Linked DNA regions of Ovis aries. The protein of the gene in region 7 interacts with the protein of the main gene of each other region in a biochemical or structural test. Links are inferred from orthologs where the notes say so. Each region holds a gene or a part of one and is shown on either strand. Other genes may lie near its edges. The genes, in order: PDLIM7, UBE2M, UBE2D1, PLEKHO1, UBE2D3, RHOB and SMURF1.

Region 1 (4,109 bases), on a different chromosome or scaffold from region 7:
GAGAAGAAGCAGTCAGTGGGACAGGATGAAGCCACGGGGAAGAGGGAGTATACCCTGACCAGAGCTGTTTCTAGGTAAGGAAAGAGGAAAGCTGAGAAATCACCATTGATTGAATAACCTGGAAATCATTAGAGACCTTTTGAAGAGGGAATTAATTCAGAGGACTGGTGGGGACAAGAGCTTGACTGAATGAGTTCAGGAGAGAATGGGAGGAAAAACGGGGAGGAAGGGTAATAGACAACTCCAAGGAATTTTACCCTCAGGGAAAATAGAAGAATAAGAGAGAGATTGCTGAAAAGTGTTGTGAGATCAAGAGAAAATTTATTTAAAGATGAGAACTCTTACATCAGTTTATGTAGTGAAGGGACTGATGCAGAAGAGGATGAAATATGATAATAGTGGAGAGGGGAGAACAGCATTGGCCATCCCCTGAGGCGTGGACATCTGTTCACTCACTCGCAAACCTGGATCCCTGCTCACTTTCCCCCGCTGCCTGAGCTAGCCGCCTGGGCTGAGCACTGGGTCAAACTGGGGACTCTGACACCCTCAATGGAGGCGCTGCCGGTTCTGGAGCGGGTAGCAGGACATACCTCATCAAGACAGTCAGCACTTAGGTGGGGTGGCTGGGCTGCTGGCCGCTGACTGCGAGGGGTCGGTGGTAGGAACAGGTCAGGAATGAGTAACGATTGGGGCCAGAGCCAAGGGTCCCTACACCTGTGTCGACTGTCATTTTCTGCCTTCGGTGGAATGTTCTGCAAACAACTTCATGCTCCCCCGTGTCCTCCTCAACTAAGCCCACCTCGAGGTCCCCCCCACCACCACCAACTCTCCACCAAATCCGTCCTATTTAGAAATTCTGGAGCCTCCGATGGCTGTACCTTACGGCGAACTGTGCCTGTCTTCACGACGGCCCTGTGAAGCGAGTAGTATTGTCCCATTTTTCTGAGTTGGAAACTAAGGTTCACAGACGACTCAGATCCAGATCTGTCTGGTTCCCAAGTAGACTTTCTTTTCACTCAGCCAGCTGGAGGCGCAAAGGGCCAGGAAAGCGGAGGGTTAGGCTCCCAGACTAGGTGTCCAGCAGCCGAGACCCCGCCCAGACTCCGTCCAGGCCCCGCCCCACCGACGGGACCAAGGAGGGCTGTGTCTTAGAGCCCAAAGCTAGATGGGACCTGATGATTGGGTGGGGCGGAAGGATTGGGTAGGGCTTCCCACTGCCCGGGCGACCGCGACTTTTGGAGGGGGCGGGGCATCTGGCTCCGCCCCCCTACGCGGGCTCAAAGCGGATGGCAGCCGCGGGGGCGGGGTCAGAACTCGGGCGGCGGATCCCAGCGCGGCTCTTTGGAGCCCGCCGCGGAGCAGCGCCCCGGTGGGGCCCAGGAGGTACTTGGGACAGCGCGGGGCATCTCGGGCCGGACCAGGCGGGGGGCAGAGGCCTAATGGGGACCACAGAGGGGGCTGGGGGTCGTAGCCAGCTCTGCAGTTCCTCCGATGGGCCGTCGCCCCTACCCCCGCCCCCGCCTTCCTGCGGCGAAGCCGGCTGCGGCGGGGCTGATTGGCGCCTGCGCCGCTTCCTGCGCCTGGGACTCGGCCAGTGCTTGGGGCCCAGGCGGAGGCCCAGGGGGAAACTGAGTCACGTTGGGATGGTAGCAGTCCTGTGTGGGAGGCACCACCCTCACTGGGCTGCAGGATAAATCTTTTTCCTGACCGTGCTTTGGAGTCCCAGCCCCCACCGTTCCCTCCAGGGGCCTCGCCCCCGCCCAGAACCCAGCGCTCCCAGGGGTCCTGCCCTGGCTCTCAGTAGCTTCGACTGGGCTTGGAATGGCTAGGATTCGCTCCAGCCGCCTCCCTCCGCACCCCTCCCCCTCGCGGCCCAAGCCCCCGTGTTCTCTCCGAACAGTGTCAGTTTACACGCCTTATATAGTCCGAGCAGGCTCCAGCCGAGGCCTGCCTGTGGGGACCTGGGGGCGGGGGAGAGGAGTGCCGGCCCTGGACTGGCATTGCTGTCCAGACCAAGGCTCAAGACTGGCTGGGAAGGAAGTCATGCCAAAGTAGTCCTGCTGTCCACTCCTGGGTGAGAGGAACCTTATGAGTGGATGCGGGCTCCCTTCACCCCCCGCCCCAGTCCTTTGGGGAAGGGGGGTTGCCCCTGTCTTTCCAAAGTGAGTCTGCCAGCTAGCAGCCCAGCGCGACCTAACAGGGTGCCCGCCTACCCTCCCCCTGGGTGTGCTCAGCGTCTGCCAGTGCTTGCCTGGCGCTAGTCCAAGGCTGGTGTCCAGAGTAGGGCCTGCCTGTGCACCCACTGTGCATCACTCACTTTTTCTCTCCTCTCAGGAGCAGCACTATGGATTCCTTCAAGGTGGTGCTGGAGGGGCCAGCACCTTGGGGCTTCCGGCTGCAGGGGGGCAAGGACTTCAATGTACCCCTCTCCATCTCCCGGGTGAGCCTAGGTTGAGGGAAGGGTTCCTCTGGGGGTCTCTGGGTGCTCAGATCTCCAGTGGGCGGCAGGAGGAGTCTGAGCAGGAATGAGCCGACGTCACAGACCAGGAGGTGTCCAGGTCCAGAGCTGTGGGCATCTGCCACAAGGACTCCCAACTCGGTAGATACTGGGAAGGGAGCAGCCCTCAGACTTCCACAGCTCTACACTGCACCTTCTAGGCTCAGGAGTGTGCCCATTCTTCAGGAGGTGAACCTGCGGTCTCCAAGAAGTATCTATAAACTGCTTGAGGAGCAATGTTTGGTGCTAGGCCCCTGGGAGGGCACTCTGACTGCAGGAGCTCACTTCATCCTCATTGCCACCTAAGGAATAGCAACTACCACCCTGTTTATTCAGATGAGATAACTCAAGACTCATTGAAGGAACTCTTTCATCAGTTCCATGGCAAAGCAGGCATGGGGCTTCAAACACAGGGATGGCCTGCAGTTTTTGTGGGTGGATAAGGTGCTTCTGCTTCTCCCCAGCCCAGGTGAGGACTTTTATCCCATTCACTGGTTCCATTCAGGATGCAGTGGTGTTTGGGTATCTAGGGCTCTGACTTCAACTCCTGAGAGCCTGTCCTGGTGGGGGTGGAGCTGGAGGCTGGCTCCTCCCTGTGGCAGGGGGATTGCCTTATAAGCCCAAGAATGCAGCCCCATGCTGGGATAGTCAACTGGTGGCTGGAGTCTGCAGAACTAAAGAAGGCTGGCCTAGGCCTGGAACCCTGAACCCCATCAGTGGGCCCCTCAGCCGATCATCAGGCTGTGGCTACAACTGTGGGATCAGTTGTGGGACTCGGAGAACAAAGTGCCTGCCCTGAGAGGGTGAGGCCAGCCCTTGGGTTGGTGTCTCTTGACTGTAGTCTGGGGGTCAGGAGTGGGCGGGGATTTCTGTCCCCATATCCCCTTGACCAGAGAGGCACACCCAGGCTCCTGGTGGGCAGCTGTTGGCATGAAGCCCAGGGCAGGCTTAGCCTGGAGGGGTCTAGAGATCCCAGCTTGAGGGGGCCCCAAGGTAGAGTCTGTTGTAGTTGGGCTTGGTGGCCAGGACCTGCAAGCAGTCACTGTTCCAAGGGACCCTTCCACGGGGTTTCCTGGAAGCTGCTCTGCCAGCAAGGTAGCTAAGGGCACTGATCTCCCTACTACTTACACCCAGCCCATACATAATACTCAAGCCTTGCCATCTCTGGGAACTCATCCTATACTCCACTTCCTGAGAAAGTGCTGGTCAGTGTGGCTGGGAGCTTGGCTGACCTCTGAGCCTCAGTTTATTCATTGGTGGGGATGGGCAACAAAGCAGCCTAAGGGATGGACTTTCAGATGTGGCCTGTTGGGGGCACTCTGAGCTTGGGCTCTGTTGTCAGCAGCCCCAGCATGTGGGTGGGGCCACTGGCTGAGCCCAGCCCTGGAGTTGGACCTAGGCCCTGGTGGGTGGGAGTGAGGGTGGTCTTTTCGGAGCTGGGCTGGGCCCCCTCCCTCTCTCCTGACCCTAGCATGGAGGAGGAGAGGGAGGGGCTAGGGCTGGCTGGAGGCCCAGGCCTGGGAGATGAGGTAACGTCTGGGACTTGGGGGTTGGGCTGCTCAGTGGAGCCCTCAGGCTGACTCACCCCCTACTCCGTGTGGTGTCCAGCCCC
Region 2 (3,997 bases), on a different chromosome or scaffold from region 7:
ACCACCCCGCATGGAGCGCTGCACATTCTGCTCAAACAGCCTCCGGTTGTTCTGCAGGACCTCGGCGGCTTCCTTGTTCAGTGGGTCTTCAGGGTTGGGCTCCTGTGGCCGGTATGGGAGGGGCAGGAGGTCAACAAGCCCAGAAGTCAGAGGGCCAACCTCCCCCAGCTGCCCTCCCACCCCCACCCCTACTCACCAAGAAGAGATACTGCAAGCCATAAATTATGGAGTTTATCGTAAGGACTGGCTTCCAGTCCTCTCTGTGGGCAGAGAGCATCATGATAGGGGCTGGTGAGCGGGCAGCCACCACAGGCCCTGCTGGGACCAGACAGGTCAGGCCCAGGGCATGGGACAGCACGATCGGGAAATGCTAGCGGGAGGGTGCAGAGAAGCACAGGCCAGAAAGCCAAGGTCAAGCCATGAGGAAGAAAACGCAGAGCTGAAGAGACAGAGGGACACACAGACCACAAGGGGAAGGGAAGGGAAAGAGACTGGTATAGTGCAAGGTCATGAAGGGGGCCTGGCAGGCAGGGCTGGGCAGCGTAGTGGAGGGCCAGTGCCCTCACCTGAGGATGTTGAGGCAGACGTTGCCCTCGAGGTCAATGTTGGGGTGATAAACCATCGTCTCACACTTCACCTTGGGGGGGTCATGCGGGTAACCCTGGCCCACCTGGCTCCAGGAGAAGAGAGGGCAAGTGGATAGGTGCACAGCAGTGCCTGGCTGGGGCCTCAGCTGTTGCTTCCTCAGCCCAGGGAGCCACCCCTGCACACCTGAGACTCACCTTAAAACTGAACACAAACTTCCCGCTCTTGTAGAAGCCCTGTGAAGGAAGAGGAGAGGAGTCAGAACCCCACTCTGCAAGGCCCGGCAGGTGAACCAGCCAACTTGAGGTGGTGTCACCTGCCGTGCCTGAGAATCCAGTTAAGCGTGCCCTCACCTCATCAGGACAGATAACCAGCTTGAAGTTGAGGAGGTCGTCTGGATCTGAGAAACTGATGTCACACGTCTTGGGCAGATTCAGCTCGTTTATGTCTGGGTTTTCACAGCAGAGAAGGGAAACAGGCCAGGAAAGGGGGAGATAGGGGGTGCTCAGAGCAGGTGCCAGCAGAGCCTCCATAACCTCTACCCAGGACCCCAGTTCTGTCCTGGGCAGTGGGCCACCCCCTCCTCCCTCTCCCTGCTCCTTCTGCTCCGCGTCTCCAGGCAGGCTCTTCCGTATCTATGGAACACTGCAGATATGCTGGAACTCCTGGGGGGCAAGCTCTAACTCTTCTGAATCCAGTCGTAAGTCCCCCAGCCCAGCTCCTACATGTTCCCACTCCTGTGTGTCCCACCCCAAATCCAGCATCCTGACCGCGACCTCCGCTTTCTAGAGGAGTCTCTACTTGTCTGCGCAGATGCAAGGATCTTATTTCCCTTCCTCACCCTAAATCACCACCCCCCCCAGTCCCTGGCCCCCACTGTCCATACACTCCTCTCTGCTTGTCGTCCTAAACTCAGGATCCCATCTGACCTCCAGATCTGTGAGTTCCCAAGCCTCCTACCCTATACTATTCTGAGCATAAGAGTTCCAGCATCTCTAGCAGGATGGTCTAAACCCAACCCTACTCCTATCTCTATAATCCCTGGTACCCAGCATCCCTCCCTCCTCCTGTCACCCCAAACTGACATGTGACTCACCCAGACCCACGACACCCAGGCCCCAGAACCCACTTCACCAGGTCTGACTCTGATTCCCAGTGACTCTAGCGTTAATACACTAAATCTCCCACCCCGATCCTCAATCCTCGGCCCCACTGTCCCTATCTCCTCTTCCTGTCGCCCAGGTTCCCATCTGACCCCCCGACTCTCGAGTTCCCGGTCTCCCTCTTCCGCTGCCACCCTCAGATTCTCGGTCCCTAGTATCAGACTCCTAGCTTTCCGAACACGCTCAGTGCCCCCTGCTCGGCCCCCCTACCTCCGACCACTTTGGTGATTATATTACCCCATCCCCGGCCCCTCGGCCCCCAGGCCCTGGTCTCCGATCCCCACATCCGCGGCCTCCCCGTTTCTGACACCTTTGACCCCTGGCAGCCGCATTACTCCACACCTGACTCCCGTATCACCCGGAGCCAGGCTCTGACCTCCGACCTCCACTCCCATCCCCCGACTCCCCTTACCCTTCTGGATCCGCAGCTGCGCCGCCGACGCCTTCTTGCTGCTGCCCTTGGTGCCGCCCGCCGACTCCTCCTCCTTCTTCTGCTGCTTCAGCGAGAACAGCTTGATCATCCTGCCGCCGCCGCCGCTGCCGCCGCTGCGGGGCCCGGGACCCCGGCCACCCGGCCCCCCGCCGCCGCCCGCGCCGCCTCCGCCACTCGGACCCGCCGCCGCGGCCTCTCCGGCTGCTGCCGCCGCCCGCCGGGCCTGCCGCGCTGCTCCGCGCCCACCGCGCGGCCCGCGTCGGCTCCCGTAGTCGGCTCTGGCCTGGCCCGGCGCCTCGGGCCCGCTCGGCGGCGTTCGGGCCCGCTCGGCTGTTCTCGGGCTTACTCGGCCCCGCCCCCACCCGCCGCTCCCTCCTCCCGGCCGTCCGCTCCGGCGTCCTCAGGCTCGGCTGCGGACGCGGGGTCCTCAAGCCGTGTCCCTGGGCCTGGTCACTCGCTCTCTTCGCGAGGGCTCTGCGGCTCGAGGCGGAAGGGGGAGGCGGGGGCTGCGATGGCCGTGCACTAGACAGGAGGGCCGGCTTCCGTGGCAGCAGCGGCTTCGGCGCGGAGGTCCGCAACGGCCTCGGGCGCCCCACCGCTTCGGCTATTTCCGTCGCCTGCCCGCTTCGGCTCTTCCCGCCCGGCCTGCGCTGTGCGCTTGCGCAGCCGCTGCCACCGCCCCACGTTGCTCCGCGCTGGGACTTGGGGATCGGGCTCCTTCGGCTTGGTTCGGGTATTTCCGTTCGTGCGGGCCGGGCCGGTCACTTCCGGGGACGCCCGCGAGTCCAGGGAGGAGGGGGATGGCGGTGTCGCCGCCATATTTAAGTGGGGCAGATGCAGGCCGCCTCACTTGCGGGCCGCCATGCCCACTCGCAGTTGTGCGGACGGCGGCATAGACGGGCCAAACAAGGGGCTTGACCCCAGGGGCCACAGACGGAGGCAGGGTTAGAGTCAGAGCCTGAGCAAGGCCAGGAGCGTGGCCTAGAGTGCATGACTCAGAACCTTCGGGGTCCCATCTCAGGCTCAGAGAACCCGCCTGCAGAGTTTGGTTGAGGTAAACTAGCAAATAAAACGTGTCAGAGGATAGTATAACACTGTGGAGGTTTACACGGGCTCACACGCTTGGGGGCAGCCCTCCGCACGGGTCTAGAGTTTGCCCGCAGGCGACCCCCGGCCTTCCGCCATCTCCGTCCGCGAGGTGGGCGGAGCCAGCCTCCCCTCCAATCACAGCTCAGCGTGCGTTGGAAGGCGCGAGCAGGCGGCGCGGAGCGGTTCTGCGACTTCAGGCTGTCACCGAGGACTCCGTCAGGCGGTGAGCGGCGCCACGAGGGCTGGTCGGGGCGGGGGGCCGGGCCCGGGGGGCGGCCGGGGCTCTGCCCCTGAGCCTTCCCGCGACCGAATGAGGCTCCTGCCGCACGACCCACCCCGTCGCTGAGGCGGCGTGCCGCCGTCTTCTGGAGCACAGTGGGAGTAGTCCGGCGGCCCAGTTGGGCCCGCGCTAGTGGTGGGCCATGGCCTCCTCTTGGCTACCCCGGCCCGATCCTCACCCCAGAAAGTAACCTCCACCTTTTCGGGCCGTGATTTGGCGTCCCTGCCGACCCCAGCCTCCTCTCGGGTACCCTCGGCGTCCTTGGGCTCCGTGGTCTCATATCCTAGTCGTGGCTGTTGCAGCCGTTCCCTTTTTCTCCCGCTTGCATTCTCTTTCCTCCATTCCAGAAGCCCCCCTTCAACCCTCTGGTCGTCCTCGCCCCAGACTGCCGGCTTCGTTGATTTCCTTGAGAGCTGTGTGCTGGAGAGGTGCTGGGGTGAGGCTAAG
Region 3 (4,172 bases), on a different chromosome or scaffold from region 7:
GAAAAACTGTGAAGTCATGACCTTTTTAAAACACGCCAAATCACTTCTTAAGAGATTAACTTGGACAAAGCACTCCACTCGAAACCTCAAGCTCCTTCTCTGAACAACAGTGAGTAGACTAGAATGTCAGTCAGTGGTTCATGACCTTTCTTCCACAGCAGCCCATCTGAGGGACTCACCAGCATCTCTCCATTTACAGCAATGGTTCATTCAGTTCAGTGGCTCAATCGTGTCCAACTCTTTGCGACCCCATGGACTACAGCAGTGGGGATGGTCTGAAATGTCCCATGGTTGATTCTGATGTACTACCCTAGAAGCTGTTCCCCTGCCTTTCACTCTTGAAAGTACTTTAAGGTTCTGCACAGTTCCAAAGCCTGCCACTGTAGGCCCAGGAAAATCGCAACCCAATGACCTTATCTGACAGTGTTACTTTAATACATTTTAAAAGAGAGGCCAAAAGTTAATAACATGGATTCTTTTGTTGAAGCACGGAAGATTCAAAAAGAATTTATATACTGATGATATCAAAGAGGGCTCTGTAACTTAACTGTTCACATGGCAAACAGCATACCTCCCCTGGAATTCACTTCTCATCAAGAAGGTAGTAAAGAAAGAGAAAATGTGGGGAATCAAACAAAATACTTCCTAAAGTTGAGAGTGGTCTGAACAAGTGATCAATGGAAAAGAGATCTGTACAAATCACTTTTTTTTGGTAACAGAGAAGGGGAGCCAAAGATTGACACACAGAGATGGGATGCTATGTCATATCCAATTTTTTTTTTTTTTAACCAGACAACTCTGTTATAAACTAATAACTAATAATGACTAAAAATATGATTTGGGTATATGCCATATTATAAATACAAGCCAAAGACATTGGCTCAGCAAGGAGACTGATACATTGCCCAGGACACTTAACAGTGTCCATTTTCTGTGAATGTTCACTTACTGTCGACAAATTTTACACTATTTGAAGCTACTATACATGTAGTCTTGCAAAAAACTCTTACAACTAGGGAAGAAGGAAATGGAATTTTAAGACTTCCTTGGAAAATGTGTGTTTACCTCAAATGTGAGCCAACATTACATCATCATTTAAAAGTACACAAGGCATGGCAAAGATGCTGAGTGGGGTTTCAAAATTAGAATCATGTATATGAAAAAAAGTGTGTAACTGCATTATCTTCAAATCAGAAAACATAGTAATCAACACATGCTGATTTTAGCTATGTGCTTTACCGTGAGAGTAACCTTAACAGGCACAAAAAATAACAGTATTTCTCAGATCTCGGATCATTTGACCCCTCCCCATCACCACCACCACCAAATTGGCTGGGTCAGAAAGTTGCTGTCCTCTGTACCAGAAGATGACATCAATGGTAACTGAGAATACAATGTATACTTCCCTATCACTGCCTTATTGATTCGTGCCAGAAGAAGTTGATAAAAATTTTTTTTGGTAGTATTTCTTCTGAAATCCTTTAGAAAACATGCTGTCCATCTCTGGCTTAACTTGCTGAACGCATTTCTCATTAAAAAAACAAATTCTCAATGTTCTCCACATGAACCATAACAGTAAAGCCTAAAGCTTGTGAAAGGGAACAGACTAAATAACCCAACAAGAAACAAAAGTGAACAGAAAGAAAACGCCCCAATCTCAGGTCTGTAACATGTTCACATTAGAGACGGTAGCAAAAAGCATTCATGAGAAAACAATTCCTTACACTGAGTTGGGACGGAAACATATTTGTTTAATGTATATAAACATTTCTTCCTCATTCTATACCCATGTGTCAAAGCATGGAACTATCTAATTTGTGACAGTTTCTGTTGTGTCTCAAACTTTACATATAAGTTTATCATGGCGAGAAAAAAAAAAAAAATTGCTTGGCTTGACTCACCATGAATCACAGCCAGGAGGTCATCTTGTTGTGTATCAGCAACTATGTTTTCACTACAGCTATGTGACCTCAAGTGGCAGCAGCAGAGGCACCAAAATAGAAGGGGCAGGAGGCTTCTCCTGGTTTCTCGGTCCCAAATGGGCTTTTCCAGCCCATTCGGGCATCTGAGCAAGAGCCAACCGCAGAGGAGAGAAAGAACAAACCCAACAGCTCCGCGGAGGAAGGTTGCAGGCCCACCACACCTTCCATGCCCTCCCGGGAGCAGGGGAAGGCAAAATCATAAAAGAGGACAGGTTTCAGAAACAGCATGAAGAAAGCAGCATGACAAGGGCCAAAGCTAGCCGGGTGTAAGGCAAAATCCAGTGACCCAGCGGCACATAGGTCTGGAGGTCTGGAGACAGAAGCAGCTCTCCTGCCAGGGATCCCCAGGCGCAGCTCCGGCGTGAGAGCACATCGGGCCCCCTGCCTCCAAGCACCTCCAGCACCCGGGACCTGTCGCTGCTCCCACCTCACCTGTCGGGTGCCCGCTGGCCCGCCGGCGTCTCTGGCCCCCGGTCCCCGCCCTAGCCCATCTTCCCTGCACGCTCCCTCCCGGCGCGTCTCTCGGGACCACCACTGGGGTCAGCGTGCGCGGCGAGCCGAAGCCCGCCCCGCTGCCCCAGGCCCGGCCCCGGCACTCACTTTCTGAATCCGCTTCAGCGCCATCGGTCAGGGAGGGCGGCTGGGACACTGGCCGGCGGGGGACGGCTGCAGGGCTCGGGGGCGTGGGGTAGTGCGGGCTCGGATCGCCGGCTGTTCGGCTGGCTCAGCCGGGTGGGTTCCCGGGTCGCTGCTGTCTGGCTAGCTCTGGGCGCGGGTGCCTGCTCTGAGTGAGCCCGAGCGCTAGTGTGCGAGTGTGCGGGCGGGGACGCCGGCGACACTCTTTTGTTTCCGCTTTTGCTTCTGGGAAGGAATCTGCGGCCGCCCGGCCCCGCCCCCTCCCGCCAAGCGTACTGGGAAATGCAGTTCCTGCATCCTACTCGGCCGCTGCCCGGTTCGGAGACCTTCACCCACTGCCAGGTCTGGGTTAGTCTCTGCAGATGGATTTCGATCAAGTAACTGAAACTGGAGTTCCCAACCTGTAAAATGAGAATAACAAATTAGCTCGAAAAACATGTACCGGATTCTAATGTGTGCTACATCTTGTAATTTTTTTTTCATCTTCCCTTTTTCTGTTACCAAATCCTCTTATCAAGAGTTAGAGTGCCCTAGAGTTCCAATCTCAGACCTCTCGCCATTAATATCTTCCTAGACGACAGACCTAGTGTCCTCCCGTAAACTGGAAGGCCACCCAACATAGCCGGAGAAGCGTGGGGTTTGTGGACTGACCCCTCTCTTGGGATGGAATCCAAGCTCTGATCCCTATCCACTGTATGACCTTGTAGCACTTAAATTCTCTAAGCCTCAGTTTCTGCGTGTCCAAAGAAAAATAATCTCCATATATTATTGTAAGAATTAACTGATATTAATATGATGTGCCAAACACACTACCTAATATGTTGAAAATGCTCTATAAAAATTATTTCCTTGTTTTTATGTATATGATAATGATTTTAAGATCTCTCTTTCCAGCCAAACTCTCACCGCAGTTTCAGCATTTCATGTCCAAAAACTTCCTGGACATGTCCAGCCTTCTTCCCTGTGGCCAGGAATCAGATTGTGTTACAAGGCGAGGGTTGGAAGAAAGCTTTCCTGGAAACCCTAAACAATAGCCACCATACCATTCTAAATGCTTACAAAGAGCAAGGAACAAAAATCCACTCAGGTAACTTAAAAGAAAATGTTCAGGGAAATAAGATAGTGAAAGAATGATAGAAATATTAATAGAATCTGAAATTTAATTTAGAAGCCTCTCATTCTACCTTCTCACCACCCTCTACATCGAAAATAAACATAAAAACTAAAACCAGTCTGGAGTCTGACTACTCTCTTATTTTCCTTTTCCTGAGATCTTGGTTCTCTCTGCATGCTGGCCCACCCTCATTTTTCCAGCTCCCCCTTAACTTCTCTTGTACAGGGTATGAGCTCCCACCATCCTTACTCCACTTTCTGACACTCTTCAAGCTACTGTTTCTGCTGCTAAATGGCCAAGCCTTTTGGTACTCCCTATTTATCTCCCTAAAGGGAAGAATCCCATTGACACAATTCATCTTTTTACTTCAGGCTATACATTTTCAGTTAGTGAGCAAAGAATAGATTGACTACTCTTGGATTAGTTTGCCAACCATGGTC
Region 4 (4,180 bases), on a different chromosome or scaffold from region 7:
TTTTTTTAATCTTGAGACATCTCTGAAAAAGAGGTTCTCCTCTACTCCTCTGTGCCAGGGATTTTTATTCATTTGGAAGTTTCTGTGTGCCTGCCATATGCCAGGCAGTGTGTTCGTTAGCTCATTATTATTTAGTAATTAGCCCTAGAGGGCAATACTGTATTTTGAAAGGACTTTCATGGGTCATCTCATGTTTTCCCCTGTCTTTCTTGTTGGTGGAACTGGCAGTCAGTTCCTACAGAGGAACTGAGGCCCAAAGAAATTCGGCGACTCGACCAAAGGCCACAGAGCAGTGATGAAACCAGTACCCAAAGTAGGTTCCCTCTCTCCTCTTCCCATTAAATGTGTACTGAGGGGAAAAAGGAAGTCACCAAGATGTTGGTGTGTGGGCTCCGAGGCAGATTTGGCTTAGGAGTGATCAGCAGTTTCCTCCAGCCAGGGCCTCCTCTGGGCACTGTGGTAGACAGGGTGGAATTTTTACATGTCAGTGCATTAGGGAGAGACACCAGATAGCAGGATGTTTAAGCCTTCGGTTCGGTTCAGTCAGTCGCTCAGTCGTGTCCGACTCTTTGCGACCCCATGAATCGCAGCACGCCAGGCCTCCCTGTCCATCACCAACTCCCGGAGTTCACTCAGATTCACGACCTGGTGCTTATATTTAAAGCCACTAGGTCTAACAGATCAGAGCTTTGGAGACAAGAATTCTATTCCTTCCAGCACTTAAAATGTGTCTGCAAATTCTGTACTCACTTTTCTCTCTATGCAACGGAGGTCATAATATCTACCTCATACATAAGGTTATTCTCCCGAGGCTCAAATAAGGCCTAATAATTTGTAAACTGGAAGAAATGTGTATTGAGTTCTCTTCCGCGGGGAGCCCCTACACATCGGTACCCTCCGAAGCATAAAACTTTTCCCCAACAGTTGACCTGCCCAGACCACTACTCCACCACCTAGGGCGTGTGAATTCCGGATGCCAGTCCTGGGTAACACGCCCTCCCAGCTCACGCTCTTGTTTTTGTTTGGGGGTTGGGAGGGAGACGATCTCAATCTAGGTTATCGCCGGTCTTTATGAACCTGCCTGTGTCTCCATCACCCGCCGCATCGGCCCCTGCCGGCTCTCTCGGCAGGTCGGCCCGGGCGGTCGTCTCAGGCTCCACCTCTCGCTCCGGCCGTCAGTGCGAGTCTGGGTGCCCCCGCCGCCCCAGACGCCGTTCCCCGGCGGGGTGTAGGTCTGTCTTCTTCACCCTCAGTGAGTCAGAAACAAAGGAGGGTGTGGGGGGAGCGCACTCTCTCCGGCTCGGCGATTCGCCCTTTATTCTGAACTCGCAACGTCAGCGGGCGGGTGGATGGAGCTGCGGGGCGCGGGCTGGGCCGCCCACATCGCGCCGGGCCGGGGGAGCGGCCGGGCCGGGCCGGGCTGGCGGGCGGCGGGGGCGCGCTCGGGGGACCGGGCCGCGTGGGCGCCGGGATGGAGGGCGCCGAGGGGCGGGGAGCAGGCGTGCGTGTGTGTGCGAGCGCGAGGGAGGCCGGCCTTTAGTGTAACCGGAGCTACAAAGAAGGGGAGAGTCCGGGAGAGGGAGGGAGGAGCGGCGGCGGCGCCGGGGGCCTCTGCGCACCCTCCCCGTGGGCAGGAGCCCCCTCGAAGCGGCCTCGGCCCCCGACGCGGGGCCGCCCCTCGGCGCCCGCCCGGCAGCCCGGAATGATGAAGAAGAACAATTCCACCAAGAGGGTGAGTACGTCCGCCCGCCCCGTGGCCGCCGCTGACTTTGTGCCCCGAGGACCCCGGCCCCGTCGGAGCCGCGGGCGGCCGGCTTGGGGGCCGGGGACACGCCGCGCCAGCCCCCTGCTTCCAGCCCGGCCCGGTCGCCGGTCCCTTAGCTTCGGCCTCGGTGCGCCGGGCCCGCGACGAGGTACCGCGGGGGCTTTTGTTTGTTTACTTGGGCCGGGGGCTAACTTGGCTGAGTTTCTGCCCCGACCCCCGGCCTCGCCTTCCCCGGGCGGCGGGCGGCCGCTGGCACCAAGCTCTGCAGCGGCGAGAAGACAATGAGAAATAAAATGCCGTAAACCCCGGCGCGGCGTGGAGGGGAGCTGGGGGAGGGGGCGGGGGGCCCGGCGGAGCCCCGAAGGCCACCCCTCGTCTCCAGCCCGGCCCTCACCCCTGGCACGGGCAATTCCAGTTGTTTATTTGGAAGAAGGGGGAGGGGAGCGATAGGGATGCGAGTTCCTTGGAGTGAAAGGGTTTGAAGAAGTGGGGAGCAAACGCGGGGCTCCCCGACTCCAGCTGCGGCGGGGCGGACGCGGGGAGGGGACCGGGGACTCGGGAGGGCGCCGAGGACGGAACGCGAGGAGGAAAAAGCTGGAACCACCTAACCGTGCGATTCTCATCTGGCTCGCGGGGGCAGGGGCCTCAGGATGGAAACCATCAGTGTGCACCGCCTGAGAAGGTCGGCTGGGTCCGGAAATTCTGCGGGAAAGGGATTTTCAGGGAGATTTGGAAAAACCGCTACGTGGTGCTGAAAGGGGACCAGCTCTACATCTCTGAAAAGGAGGTAGGTGCCCTTGCCGCGAACTACCCAGTTTTCTCATAGTCCTGACCTGGTCTTTCCGAAGGGGTCTTATATGTACTTCTCGTCTCCCCCTTACCGCACTCCTGATTTTGTTCCGAAAGCGAGTTCAGCAGTCCGGTTGGCTCTACCCCCATCTTACCTGCAGAGAAAGGTCGCCCTTCAGTGAGAAGACCCGAATTAGAATTAGAAGTTGCATCTTACTTAAAGATTTTCCTTTGAAAATACCTTTCTGATAAGCATGATAACTCCCTCCCAAGATGTCCCCAAAACTCTTTAAGTGTCCCCTACTCTCCCCTATCCTGGCCTCGAGCTGACTGTAGGATTCTTTTTTCTTTGCTGTTGCTGCTGAAACACCCTGTTCAGCTTATTCTTCCCTCCTTCCTGCCCCCCAGCCCAGCTAGCCTCCCCTTTCCTGTCTCTCACAGAGACATACGCAAGTCATATCAGCAGTACAGCTGCTCCAAATCACAGAAGACACACTTACAATCCAGAGGCAGTCTCACATGACCTCAGGTAGAGTATTTGTAAGTGGCAGTTATTTCTCTTGAAGCCAGTGTCCTTAATTAACATGTTCTCTGTTCCCCACCCCCACTCCACTTAAAAACAAAGAAGCGAGGAACTCATTCTCCATTCCTTCCTACCCAACACCCCCGGCCAATTATAACAGAAGGGAGAGTGGAGTTTTGAACCCCTGCATGTCTCTGTGTCTTTGGGTCTATAGTTACAATGAAAATAGTCCACGTTGGGTCAGAACCTGAGCCCACATATTGAATCCAAACTCTTCTCTGTTTTATCCCTAATTCTTGGGCTCAATAACACATAGGAATGTGGAGAAACTAAAATTGCCCCTCCATGGGTTAGAAGTCATTCCAGTACCTATCTCTGTGACTATGTCAGCATTGCCTAGGAGACTGTCCTGAGTTCCCCTGGTAGGATGGCCCTCCCCTGCCTGGTGAGTTTGAGTTCCCTCACCAGGGGCTAATTGGGAAGTCCTCCCTGAGTTCTAACCTCTTCTGCTTTCTGCTTAGACTATATTTAGGTAAATAAATCCTTTTATGGTATTGAAACAAGACACACAGGCAGTCCTGGAGAAAGTATTCATCTTGAACAGAACATCTACCGAAGCAGCTAAGAAAGAACTAAGCTATGCCAGGGCCAAAGAGATCCCTCTTAAGGGTATTTAAACCTTGCTGTTTACACTAAGCTGAGAACTTGGTGTTGGAATGAGGTGAGAAAACACTTTGACAGGAGAATTTATCTTTAAGGGTCACCTCTACCCAACCCTAAATCCTACCCAAGGTTTTTTTTTTCCCCCCCACAATTTGCTGACTTTCTAGGTTTGTGGTTTGTTTTTTTTTTTTCTTTTTTAAAGCAAATGTCCAAGTGTATCTCCTGCCTTCCCTGAACTTCATAATGGCAGGAAACTCTAGTGAGCAATCGGCGAGAACTTCCCACACGTCAGTGGGGAAAACATGAGATCAGGGAAAGGGTAGAAGGAACAAGACATTTTTTTTTCTTATTTGTACCAATCTAAAAAACAGTCTGGGGATGAAAGAGTGTGATGGACCCTTATTTGTGGAGGAAGGGGTACTGAGATAGGGGAAAGAATG
Region 5 (3,500 bases), on a different chromosome or scaffold from region 7:
AATAGTTAGTAGTGTTTTACAAGAAGTTTTATATTTAGAAGTGTGGTAAATGCAAAGTGAAACAGGTTTTGTTTGTTCATTCGTTTGTTAAGTCAGGACATCAAGCCTTTTGTGTCCTTGTACAGTGCATTTGAATCTCTCTGAAGGGACTGTCTAGCATTCCCAGAATTGTTTTTGATTAATCAGAAACACTTTTGTGTGGGGAGTGGGGACAATTTGGGTAAATGCTGCTGTCGTTCTTTTAGGTGCAGCATTGTTTTAGGCCCATTTTTTACCCCCCTGGATACATTCAAGTTTCTTTTCAGGTCTTTTCTTTTCTCTTAACACCAGGCACCTGGTATGAAGAAGACTTTAATACTATTTTCCAGGTTTGTTTGGTTTTACCATCATTGGGAATGCACTGCAATACTGAACACTGTTTCTGTAAATGCAGATTTAGTTTTATTTCTGATCCTGCACTTGAGTTTAAAGTTCTATTTTCTATGATAATGTATTTTTTTTTCATGGTATTGCTATTATCTTCAAGGATTGTCATAACCACATTAAGCTTTTATGTCGTAAACTTTTTATAAAACTTTGCACAGTGGCACATAATTCGTATTCACAATGAATTAGATACATATTCCTAATGATGCTTTACATCTTTTAAGTTAATGTTTTGAATAGGTCAGTGTGAGAGCTGTAGCTGAAGAACTACTCAGTAGTAGATCTTGGTGGGTTGTTTTGTTTTTTTTTTTTTTTTTTTTAATTTAACCAGAATTCTTGGATATGGTCTCTACCTTATAAATTCTGGGAGATAAAACCTGTAGTCATTGGGGCAGTTGGGTGTTTTTGTGAAACTCCCCCGAGAGTAGGACAGAAAATGGATTATTTTATCAAGCTAAACAGCTAAGCATATATTGCATAGCTGTACTCTTATTCAAAGTCCCCACCCCCACCTCCCTCCAGCCATTACCAAGAAACTCCACTTGACTATTTCAGAAGGTTCATAGAGAGAAGTCCTTGGTGGTCCAGTGGTTAGGACTCCACACTTCACTGTAGAGGATACAGGTTCGGTCCCTGGTCAGGAGTTCCCGCATTCAACGTGGCATAGCAAAAGAAAAAGTAATATAAATTAATACAGTAGCATTTCACTATCTCAGAACTTCTGAATTTGGCAGATTTTTGTATCTAGTCAGTAAACTAGCTAACAAATACCTATTTTTAGGATCTCTTAACTACCAGGAGCTTGTCTTGTATGAATCAAAATCTCTGTAAAGCTTTGTCTTATGGAAATTAAGATAGAAACTAATCCTCTTTTGAGGATTGAGGTTTATATTATAATACTTGTTTTTAAATACTTTTATTCAACCAAATTCCCAGTTGTGGGTAACAGACATTTGTTTTCTTCCAGTTCTTTTATCCATTTGTTCACTGCTATGTGATCCAAACCCAGATGACCCCCTAGTGCCAGAGATTGCACGGATCTATAAAACAGACAGAGATAAGTAAGTATGTAGTAATTTGAGAAAACAACATAAAAAGTGGCTTTTCTTAATGAGTTAGTATTATATACTTTGCTGTAAGTTGTGGCATGATGCCAAGGAGACTTGATGCTTATTTCCGGTAAGATGGTAGTTGAAATGTGCAGAAGCTAGTTACTTAAATGTGATTGGCTTTTTGTTGTTGTTGTTTTTTAATTTACTAGGTTATGTTTTCTTTTTCTAACATGTTCAGCAGTTTGTCACTTTTAAGTTTGAGGAAGAAAGGTATTTTTTCTTGACCCCAATCACATTTAAAACAAGAGAAAAATATTGGTACTGTTGTAAAAATTTGGTCTAAATATTTTATATATTGAATTCTTTATGTACAACTTTACCATTATAATTTCCTTATGTTATAATTAACGCTCAGTATACTTGTTCAATTAGGTACAATAGGTTAGCAAGAGAGTGGACAGAGAAATACGCTATGTTGTAGGGTAAGAGGATCTGCACAATATGGTGCGCTTATTCATGGTACTGCCAGCACATGAGTGCTGCATGCGTTAAGGCACTGTATTAACTAACAAAGGTAACTGATGTGGCAGTTTCTGAAAACTGTACACTTAACTGCTTGATCTCTTGTTTAGCGTGAAAGTATACCCAGCAGTCATTATTGCTTGAGAGTATTTTTGCATGGCAAAACAGAGTTTATATAGCACCAGTAAGAAATGAAAATTTTAGTATCTTTTTCAAATTACTATAGAATTTAAATTTTAACTTTTAAAATTGGTATATTTTAAACTTCAATACTATATGGAATGTGGTGACTTAGTTAAAATTTTGCCAAGAGATAATAATGTAAGGGATAAACACTTTTTTAAGCCTCACTATCTGTACTAAATGTTCATTACTGACAAGCATGCATTAGTGTCAGCTATACTTTGTGGCTACCTGTATGCTAAATGAAACCTTTGTTTTAAAGTGCTGGCTTTCTGAGAGGTATCCTTGAATGAGGTAACCACGAATTGGTAGAGAAAGAACTTAAAGTTAGAAAAACGGTTGAACTATGTTTAGTTCTTGGTTTGAAATGAAGTTAATATTTTTATAGAGGTCAAACTGTAAATATAAATCAGTTCTCCTATGTCCTTTTAGATATTCCTTTCTTAAGGTTATCACTATAATTTTTGTTCTGGTAAGTAGTCTATGACATGGTAGTAATACAGGGAGAAATTGATAGCGTTTTATCAATATTAGTGATCTTCCTCAGTAGTAAATATCCTTGCTTGTGTATGAATTACCTGTTGATCATTTTAAACAAAGATGCCCCCACTTGTACTCCTTACTAGTTTCATCCATCAGGTCTCGGTGGGGTTTGTTAATTGCCAGTCACTACCCTTTAAAAGTAACAGGTGATTTTGATTAGCACATATAACTCACAGCCCACCTCCTCTTGAAAATTACTGCTTTTTTATCATCTTCCCCAGTGTCTTAATCTACCTGTGCTGAAGTCTCAAAGGCATTTTCTTTTAGGTAATATCCAGGGTGAAGTAAATTATCATGAAGTCCAGGATTCAGATAAAAATGCTCAGTCTGGCTTTCATGGGAGTTTCTATAGATCTACAGATAAGTGCACTATTCTGATAATAGGTCCATGGCAAATTGTAAAAAAAGGTTAACCTTTGTTGGAATGTATACTAATTGTAAAATTTCTAATAGACCATTAGGTCAGTAGTAGGAGAGAAAAAAGGTCTTTGATTTTTGCTAGCCTATCCGTATGTTTATGAAAGTATTACTTTGATTAGGACACTGTATTGAAGCATAATGGTCTTGTTTCCTACAGTGCTTTGAGTACCAGTGCTTTTTCTTCCTTGTTGACTTTATCCTAATTGTAGCCATTGAAGATGACTCCATGATAAGTCTAGAAGTAAAATACTCTTTCCTTACCTTTTAAGTATTAAGAATTATTTTAAATTTTTAAATAACATCTTTTTTATTTACAGGTACAACAGAATATCTCGGGAATGGACTCAGAAGTAT
Region 6 (3,963 bases), on a different chromosome or scaffold from region 7:
CCCTCAAACACACACACTAATTTGTCCTGTTCTAGCCTGCAAGTTTCTCAGCCCACCCATCCGGGCTTCAGCCTATTCTTGCCTAATGGGGTGTGGGGTGGTTGGATTTTATTGCACTACTTACTTCAGATAAACCAGGATCCAAATTAATCCTGCAAGCCAGGACTGAGGCTGCCCTTTTCTGTCTGGTTACTTCCTGAGTGTACCTGAAGTTCTGCAATCAGCCTCGACCTTCCCTTTTCACTGACCCTCTTTCCCTGAACCTTCACCTGGAGACCTTAGGCTGGGTGCCCGAGAAAGCGGTAAAGAGACTGGCTTGTTAAAGCCGGAAACCGGAACCAGGCCCACCCATAAGGCACCCTCTAGCAGATCCAAACACGGCCCAGGGAAAGAACCCTCGTGGAAGCATGGTGGCAGGCTCGACAAGGGGAGGGGCTGCTTCTAAAAGAAAAAAGAAAAAGAAAAAACAACAACAACAAACCACAACCTTGATTGGAAATAAGCCTGTGTGCGTGTGTGTCTGCGTGTCTGTGCATTTAAAAACAAAACCACGTTAAAGGAGCCGCTCCCTACCCTACAGGTCCGACCACCCGCTGGGAGTTTGCGAAGCAAGCAGGGCAATACGAGTGGGAGAGACTCATTCACGCGCCCACAAAGTGCCTCCTGTCTCGGAACCGCTCGCCCAGGCCCCGCGGGCTGCTCCGGGCAGCCGTCTTCAGCCCTTCGGTCCCGCGCGCAGAAAGAGCGAACCTTGACGCAGCCAGAGACCCGCAGCTCCCGCCGCGGCGGCAAACTCCCCAGTCGCCGCCTCTCCCAGCCCCGCGGCCTGGGCAGTCAATCAAGCCCGCCCGGCCCCTCCCGTGGGCTGCAGGGGACGGCCAATCAAAGCCAAGCTCCGCAGCGATGAGCTCAGTCGGCTTGCTTCCCATTGGACGGCTATATTAAGAAAGTCGCCGAACTCTTTAAATAGCGGGCGCTAGGGCCGCAGCCTGCATCTGCCGCCGCAGTCGGGCTGAGTTCGTGTTCTCTCTTGTGTTTTCGCCTAGGCCTAGGGAGATCCAGGAGGGAGCTAGGCCGCATCCGCTTGCTCTGGCCACCGTTTGCTCACAAAGGCGCCGACCCGAGACCAGGGGCGAGGAGAGCGGCCGCCGCTCGGGAGCAGCGCGGAGACGCACCGTGCGCCCTATGCCCCCGAGTCCCCCACCGCCCCCGCCGCGGCAGTCCGAGCACTACGAGGGAACGCGCGCCATCCCGGGACCTGGGTGCAGCTAGCGACCCTTGTCCCCAGCGCGCAGCCCGAGGTGAGCAGTGAGCGGCGAGCGGGACGGCAGCGAGGCGTTCGCGGGGCCCCTCCTGCTGCCCGGGCCCGGCCCGCTTATGGCGGCCATCCGCAAGAAGCTGGTGGTGGTGGGCGACGGCGCGTGCGGCAAGACGTGCCTGCTGATTGTGTTCAGTAAGGACGAGTTCCCCGAGGTGTACGTGCCCACAGTCTTCGAGAACTATGTGGCCGACATCGAGGTGGACGGCAAGCAGGTGGAGCTGGCGCTGTGGGACACGGCGGGGCAGGAGGACTACGACCGCCTGCGGCCGCTCTCCTACCCGGACACCGACGTGATCCTCATGTGCTTTTCGGTGGACAGCCCGGATTCGCTGGAGAACATCCCCGAGAAGTGGGTGCCCGAGGTGAAGCACTTCTGCCCCAACGTGCCCATCATCCTCGTGGCCAACAAGAAAGACCTGCGCAGCGATGAGCACGTCCGCACAGAGCTGGCCCGCATGAAGCAGGAACCGGTGCGCACGGATGACGGCCGCGCTATGGCCGTGCGCATCCAAGCCTACGACTACCTCGAGTGCTCGGCCAAGACCAAGGAGGGCGTCCGAGAGGTCTTCGAGACGGCCACGCGCGCCGCGCTGCAGAAGCGCTACGGCTCCCAGAACGGCTGCATCAACTGCTGCAAGGTGCTATGAGGGCCGCGCCCGACCCGCCTGCCCCTGCCAGCGCGGCTCCCCATCCCGGGCCCGTCCCCCACGAGCCCGGAGAAGGGGAGAACCTTGCCCCCCCCAAAGACCCCCACCGGACTGCCTGGCGTCTGCTTTCAGCCCCGGCAGCCGTGGCCTGGAGACTCAGGCTCTGGCACCCGAGAATCGGCCGCGTGGTAGGCACCCGGCGCCCCCTTTCCAAGTGTCTGTGCGTCCGGCTGTGTGGCACAGGCTTGGCCACCCCACTGAGTGCCAAGGGTCCCCTGAACACCATTTTCTGAAGAGCGAAGCCTCTTCAGGGTGTGTGGCTGTGTGTATGTTCGACTCCCCGCTGCCGAGTTTTCACCCCACGCCAGCCCCTGCTCCCCGGACATGAGCTTGGCGCCGGGATGCGGCCGCGCCCCATCGGATGTGCGTCTGTAACCAGTGAGCGCCTGCTATGCCCTGTCTGTAACATAGACCTCGGGACCTGCGGGAGGGGAGGGCTGGGGAGGATGGGGTGTTATATAAATATAGATATAATTTTATTTTCGGAGGTAGGATGGTGTTATTTAATGGTGGTGGTGGGTGGAGTGACAGGGCGCTAGAACAGCTCCAGCCGGGTCTGAGTGAGGCGTCATCCCAGCACGAACAAGACTTGGCCATGTTTCCTACCCCTGGGGAAGACATTTGCAGCTGACTTGGGGCCTGAGAGGACACAGCTTCCAGACTCCTGTCTCCTGCCAGCCAGCCCCCCCACCCCCCACCCCCCGGCGAACCCCTCACTAGCCATTGAGAAGGAGGGGTGAAGTGTGCTGCAGGTTGTTTTTGCCATAAGCGAACTTTGTGCCTGTCCTGCAAGTGAAAATTGTTCAGTCCAAGAAACTGATGTTATTTGATTTATTTAAAGGCTTAAACTTGTTTTTTTTCTTCTTTTTGGAACGAATTCTTTGCACAATTGTTTCATTGTTTGACATTTAATGCACTTGTCATTTGCATAAGACAGTAGCATTCTGACCACACTTGTACGCTGTAACCTCATCTACTTCTGATGTTTTTTTAAAAAATGATGACTTTTAAAAAACAAGGAGAAGAAAAAGAAACCACTAATTTTTTTCTTTTGAAAAAAGTGGCAACACTGTTCTATTTTGCGATTTTATTTGTGCACGTATGCGCACTCTTTTGATAAAGGGCAGTAACCAGTATTAGGGCCTATCTAAAACCTTTTGTTGTTGGTTTTTTTTTCCCTCAAGGCAGTCTCTAAAGCTGTGTGAAATTTTCTCTGCATCTCTGTACAGAGAATAAACCTCCCTCTTGTGTCTCTTTTCTCCCCCTCCCTTCCCCCATCCAGTGGTACTTCTACTAAATTGTCTTGTTTTTTTATTTTTTAAATAAACTGACAAATGACAAAGTGGTGAGCTTATGATGTTTACATAAAAGTTCTATAAGCTGTGTATACAGTTTTTTATGTAAAATATTAAAAAAACTATGATGATGACATTTATAAAATGGCTCCTGTGGTTTAATGATGTGTAAAAATCTTGTGAATTTGAGGGCAAGGGGAGAACTCGGCTAGGTGAGGCTCCACTAACTCTATTTCCCTCCAAGTGTTTGTAGGAAATGGGGATGAAATCTCTGAGGATGTGAGGGGATTGGGTGGCCAAGGATGACCAGGTTGCTCCTGCCCCAGGGCCAGAGGTTACCCAGGCTCCCAGTGCCACAACCTTTGACCTAATGTGAACTGTCTGAATGGCTTATACACTGTGTCTAAGTCTATTTTGTAGCCTGTGCATCCTATTCTTTGAAACTTGGAAAGTTGTCATTTGTGCATTCAGATAACTTTTTGTTAATCACTGTCTCAAAGACTGGTTCCTGGGTTCCCTTCAGATCTTCAGGGGTTACACAGTGTCCCCCCTGAGATTGTAGGATGTTATCTCTGACCTGAGCTCCTGGGTAGAAGTCGGGGAGAGCCCAAATCAGAAGCCAATCCTTCTGCTGTGGAAC
Region 7 (3,500 bases):
GAAGATACAGACTCTAGGTCTTCATTTCAACTGGTGTCAATGTGATTCTGGCAGTTTTAAGAACACATTGATAAATCCACCCATGTATGTTTAAGAAAGATTTTTAAGTTTAAACCATTTTGCATTTGTTACAGTTGATTTCTAACTGAAGGAGAACACATTTTCTAGTTACTTGTCAGTTTTTTGTTTAATGTAACACTTAATTTGAGATACAATCAATGGCAAAGATAATTTTGAGGTTTTTTTTTTTTCTTCCCCGTTGCAAATATAGGCTAGCGCCTCAGCCAGTTTGGGCCACTAGCAAAATCCCATCGGCTGGTGGTTTACACAGCAAACATTTATTTCCCATAGGAGGCTGGAAAAGCCTAAGATGAGGAGGGGCTAGATTTGGTTCTGGGCCAGGGTCCTCTTGCTGCCTTGTAGATGGCCACCTCGTGCATCCTCACATGGAGAGCCGAGTGAGGGCGTGTGCTATGAGCCCTTCTTCATAGAGACAGGGACCCCCCATCCTGACAGCCCCCACCCCCATGACCCCAGCTAACCCCAAGCACTTCCCAAGGGCCCCACCTGTGGATACCTTCACATCAGGGCCTGGACCTCCAACATACGAGTTTTGGGTGGGATACAGTTCTGTCCATAGCGACTGACTATGGTGAAAATCTTGTCCGTAAGTGCTAACTCTTGCCTTTTTTGTTTGTTTGTTTTCAGTATTATGTGCCAAGAACCTTGCAAAGAAAGACTTCTTCAGTAAGTAAACACGCACTTTTGCTCTTTCACTATTGATATTCTTCACATATTTCTGAAATTTAAAACTTTTTCAAAAAACACTGGGTGTATTCTCCTAAAAGAAAAGAATAGAAGCCCATGGTTTGACAAACTTCATTTCCCAGTTGACTACGGCACAGAGGCTCCTTAGCTCCAAGGCACAGAATTTATAACTCAATCAAGAAAAACTCTCTCTCATTCCCTATTCTGGCCACACCGTTTTCTCTGCCTTTCCATCCATTAATATATCGCTTTCTGCTGAAGTGTTCTCTACTCAAATACAGATGAGACATTTTTCTATAAAGCATCTGAGTTTCAGTAAAACTGATAGTCAAATTTGATAAATTAAATCACACTTTAAAAGTCGTGTAATGAAAGGAATTGTAAAAATAAAAATAATAAATAGAGAGTCATTTTCTTATGAAAGGAATCGCCTCTTAAGAAGCTCACCTACTATAAAGTAGGTGCCCGGAGCAGGAAAATTTTCACACTCTTTCTGATCCTCACCAGAATGCTGCTTGGTTCCTAAGTGGTGTGTTATTCACACTCTCAGGTGAAGAAACTGAGGTTCACGGGCTTTATTCAAGGAGCTAAGAAGGTGCAGAGGGATGGATCCCATCCAGGTCTGTCTCTCAGACCTGGCCACCTCTCTGATCTTATAAACCTGTCTGATTCACACTCCAGCATTTAAGAACCTACCTAATGAAAATTTGGTGAATACTGCTTCCAGAGATAAAATAGACAAAGACCAGCAAACACAATGTCTAAGTATTATTTTTTAGAAAGTACAAATACATTTATTTGTAGACACTTTTTCCTCCATTCAACTAGCAGTGATCTTCAGAAATAGAAATCTGAATTTAAGCCTGTTTTTAGAGTTTCATTACTAGTGTCTAAAAATCTGAGGAGGATGTCATTCTGGGCTGCTTTTCTTAGAAAGCTTAATGGAAGTAACTTATTTTGCTGATCGAAACTGACCTTAAATTTGAGAATGAAAAACACCAGGATAGTTGGGTGGTCTTGACGCGCCCTTTACCTGCGGGACCATGTTCTGTGTCGCATTGACAGACCTGTCATCTCATCCAGTGTGGCTGTCCCCTCTCCTCCAGGGCTCCCTGACCCTTTTGCAAAGATTGTTGTGGACGGATCTGGGCAGTGCCACTCAACGGACACTGTGAAGAGCACATTGGACCCAAAGTGGAACCAGCACTACGATCTGTGAGTCGGATATCCTACAAGGCACTTGGGAGTGAGAGGAGAGGCTGGGTCTAGCTTGTAAGAGAAGCATTTTTTTTGAGAAAGGGATCACCAGCTTCTTTCTGGTAACACACGTGAATGGCCGGAGACCCAGTGCCTACTTTTGGAATTCATACACTTGGGAGTTCTTGCATTTGTTTCCATAGATTGTTCATGGTTTGCTTCTGTAACTGTGATCTTCAAACATTCAATCTCCTGGCCCTCTCTAACAGGAAAAAGGGGCTATAGTTCAGGTCCTCTATATGCTACTGTTTTTTCAGCAAAACCATGAGCATAGTTGTAAAACGCATCATTTGAAATGCATTATTATACATATTTATTATGTTGTTCTTGTTGTTTAGTCTCCAAGTCATGTCTGGACCCCATGGATGTAGCCTGCCAGGCTCCTCTGTCCATGGGATTTCCTAGGCAACAATACCGGAGTGGGTTTCCATTTCCTTCTCCACATATTATACGAATATTTTATACACACACACGCACATACATATATATGCTGATTTTAAAAATTTTGCTTAGATGGTAAAGAATCTGCCTGCAATGTAGGAGACCCAGGTTTGATCCCTGGCTCAGGAACATTCTCTGGAGAAGGGAATGGCTACCCACTCCAGTATTCTTGCCTGAAGAATTCCATGGGCAGAGGAGTCTGGCTGACTACAGTCCATGGGGTCACAAAAAGTCGGACACGACTGAACAACTAACACACTCATATTTTTTGCAAGAGCAAAGAAAGTTTGGTATGAGTGACTATATATAAGCCCACTCGCCATCTGACAACTTCTTGTATCCAACCATTACCTGGATTGCCCTTTGAAAATCACTATTTTATCTTCACCTCTGTTTTCATGTCCTTGCTGAGAAATTTTTGTCAGGTAACGCTGAATGATTACTGCTTTGTTTTACCGCCACACCACAGACTGTGCTGGTTTTGAGCGGGTTTTTAGTAGCTGGATCCTGAGGCCCATTTTCAGTTACACTGTGGCACAGGAGTGGTCTGGAAAGCGGTTGTCAGTCCAAGTCCTGGAAGCCCCCTTGTGGCTGACCTGCCCTGAGAGGCGGGGGTCTCCTGTCCAAGCTCTGCTCTTGCGTGTGCTTTGGGTGGATGGAGGGTTTGTAAGGAGTCCTTTGTTGCAGACTGGCTATTCTCTATGCAGCCTAATTGGTGGGAGCTTATGAATCCTGCCATTATCTTTGGAACTATTAAGATCTAGTAAATCCCTGTTACAAGGTTATCATCAGCATGTAGTTATCTCCATGTGCTGCTCAAATAATCAGCTGTAGCCCTTTTGCCACCGATTGAAGTTGGTAGACAGATATTCATCGAGGGCCTGTAGTTGTACATATAGAGCCAACATTATTTTCAGAGAATTCTCCTGGACTAACAAGTCAGTCAGATAGAATCAATGGGCTGTTGTAGTATAGAAATGCAATTAAAGATGAATTTGCACTTTGGTTTCAGATATGTTGGAAAAACGGATTCT

The links.
Region 1: the proteins of SMURF1 (region 7) and PDLIM7 are reported together in a solved structure, tested with the Homo sapiens proteins (2 studies listed by BioGRID, with this or other methods). The link is inferred for Ovis aries from reciprocal best matches to the Homo sapiens genes SMURF1 and PDLIM7.
Region 2: the proteins of SMURF1 (region 7) and UBE2M form a complex in vitro, tested with the Homo sapiens proteins (2 studies listed by BioGRID). The link is inferred for Ovis aries from reciprocal best matches to the Homo sapiens genes SMURF1 and UBE2M.
Region 3: the proteins of SMURF1 (region 7) and UBE2D1 form a complex in vitro, tested with the Homo sapiens proteins (3 studies listed by BioGRID, with this or other methods). The link is inferred for Ovis aries from reciprocal best matches to the Homo sapiens genes SMURF1 and UBE2D1.
Region 4: the proteins of SMURF1 (region 7) and PLEKHO1 form a complex in vitro, tested with the Homo sapiens proteins (4 studies listed by BioGRID and IntAct). The link is inferred for Ovis aries from reciprocal best matches to the Homo sapiens genes SMURF1 and PLEKHO1.
Region 5: the proteins of SMURF1 (region 7) and UBE2D3 form a complex in vitro, tested with the Homo sapiens proteins (15 studies listed by BioGRID, with this or other methods). The link is inferred for Ovis aries from reciprocal best matches to the Homo sapiens genes SMURF1 and UBE2D3.
Region 6: the proteins of SMURF1 (region 7) and RHOB form a complex in vitro, tested with the Homo sapiens proteins (2 studies listed by BioGRID and IntAct, with this or other methods). The link is inferred for Ovis aries from reciprocal best matches to the Homo sapiens genes SMURF1 and RHOB.

Annotation. Positions count from the first base shown.
Region 1 is NC_056058.1:36,698,515-36,702,623, reverse strand, and holds the start of PDLIM7 (PDZ and LIM domain protein 7), read left to right. Parts: upstream 1-1,309; 5' UTR 1,310-1,383; intron 1,384-2,334; 5' UTR 2,335-2,344; coding exon 2,345-2,440; intron 2,441-4,109. UniProt on the Homo sapiens protein: May function as a scaffold on which the coordinated assembly of proteins can occur. May play a role as an adapter that, via its PDZ domain, localizes LIM-binding proteins to actin filaments of both skeletal muscle and nonmuscle tissues.
Region 2 is NC_056067.1:66,428,870-66,432,866, forward strand, and holds the start of UBE2M (NEDD8-conjugating enzyme Ubc12), read right to left. Parts: upstream 2,801-3,997; 5' UTR 2,270-2,800; coding exon 2,161-2,269; intron 1,034-2,160; coding exon 939-1,033; intron 822-938; coding exon 783-821; intron 671-782; coding exon 567-670; intron 316-566; coding exon of another isoform or gene 261-315; coding exon 197-260; intron 103-196; coding exon 1-102.
Region 3 is NC_056075.1:305,094-309,265, forward strand, and holds the start of UBE2D1 (ubiquitin-conjugating enzyme E2 D1), read right to left. Parts: upstream 2,801-4,172; 5' UTR 2,607-2,800; coding exon 2,583-2,606; intron 1-2,582.
Region 4 is NC_056054.1:100,234,125-100,238,304, forward strand, and holds the start of PLEKHO1 (pleckstrin homology domain-containing family O member 1), read left to right. Parts: upstream 1-1,380; 5' UTR 1,381-1,702; coding exon 1,703-1,732; intron 1,733-2,405; coding exon 2,406-2,552; intron 2,553-4,180. UniProt on the Homo sapiens protein: Plays a role in the regulation of the actin cytoskeleton through its interactions with actin capping protein (CP).
Region 5 is NC_056059.1:22,376,607-22,380,106, forward strand, and holds part of UBE2D3 (ubiquitin-conjugating enzyme E2 D3), read left to right. Parts: intron 1-330; coding exon of another isoform or gene 331-368; intron 369-1,393; coding exon 1,394-1,487; intron 1,488-1,910; coding exon 1,911-1,959; 3' UTR 1,960-1,960; exon of another isoform or gene 1,961-3,463; coding exon of another isoform or gene 3,464-3,500. UniProt on the Homo sapiens protein: Accepts ubiquitin from the E1 complex and catalyzes its covalent attachment to other proteins. In vitro catalyzes 'Lys-11'-, as well as 'Lys-48'-linked polyubiquitination.
Region 6 is NC_056056.1:28,325,886-28,329,848, forward strand, and holds RHOB (rho-related GTP-binding protein RhoB), read left to right. Parts: upstream 1-1,334; 5' UTR 1,335-1,377; coding exon 1,378-1,968; 3' UTR 1,969-3,463; downstream 3,464-3,963. UniProt on the Homo sapiens protein: Mediates apoptosis in neoplastically transformed cells after DNA damage. Not essential for development but affects cell adhesion and growth factor signaling in transformed cells. Plays a negative role in tumorigenesis as deletion causes tumor formation.
Region 7 is NC_056077.1:37,670,086-37,673,585, forward strand, and holds part of SMURF1 (E3 ubiquitin-protein ligase SMURF1), read left to right. Parts: intron 1-708; coding exon 709-747; intron 748-1,874; coding exon 1,875-1,983; intron 1,984-3,478; coding exon 3,479-3,500. UniProt on the Homo sapiens protein: E3 ubiquitin-protein ligase that acts as a negative regulator of BMP signaling pathway. Mediates ubiquitination and degradation of SMAD1 and SMAD5, 2 receptor-regulated SMADs specific for the BMP pathway.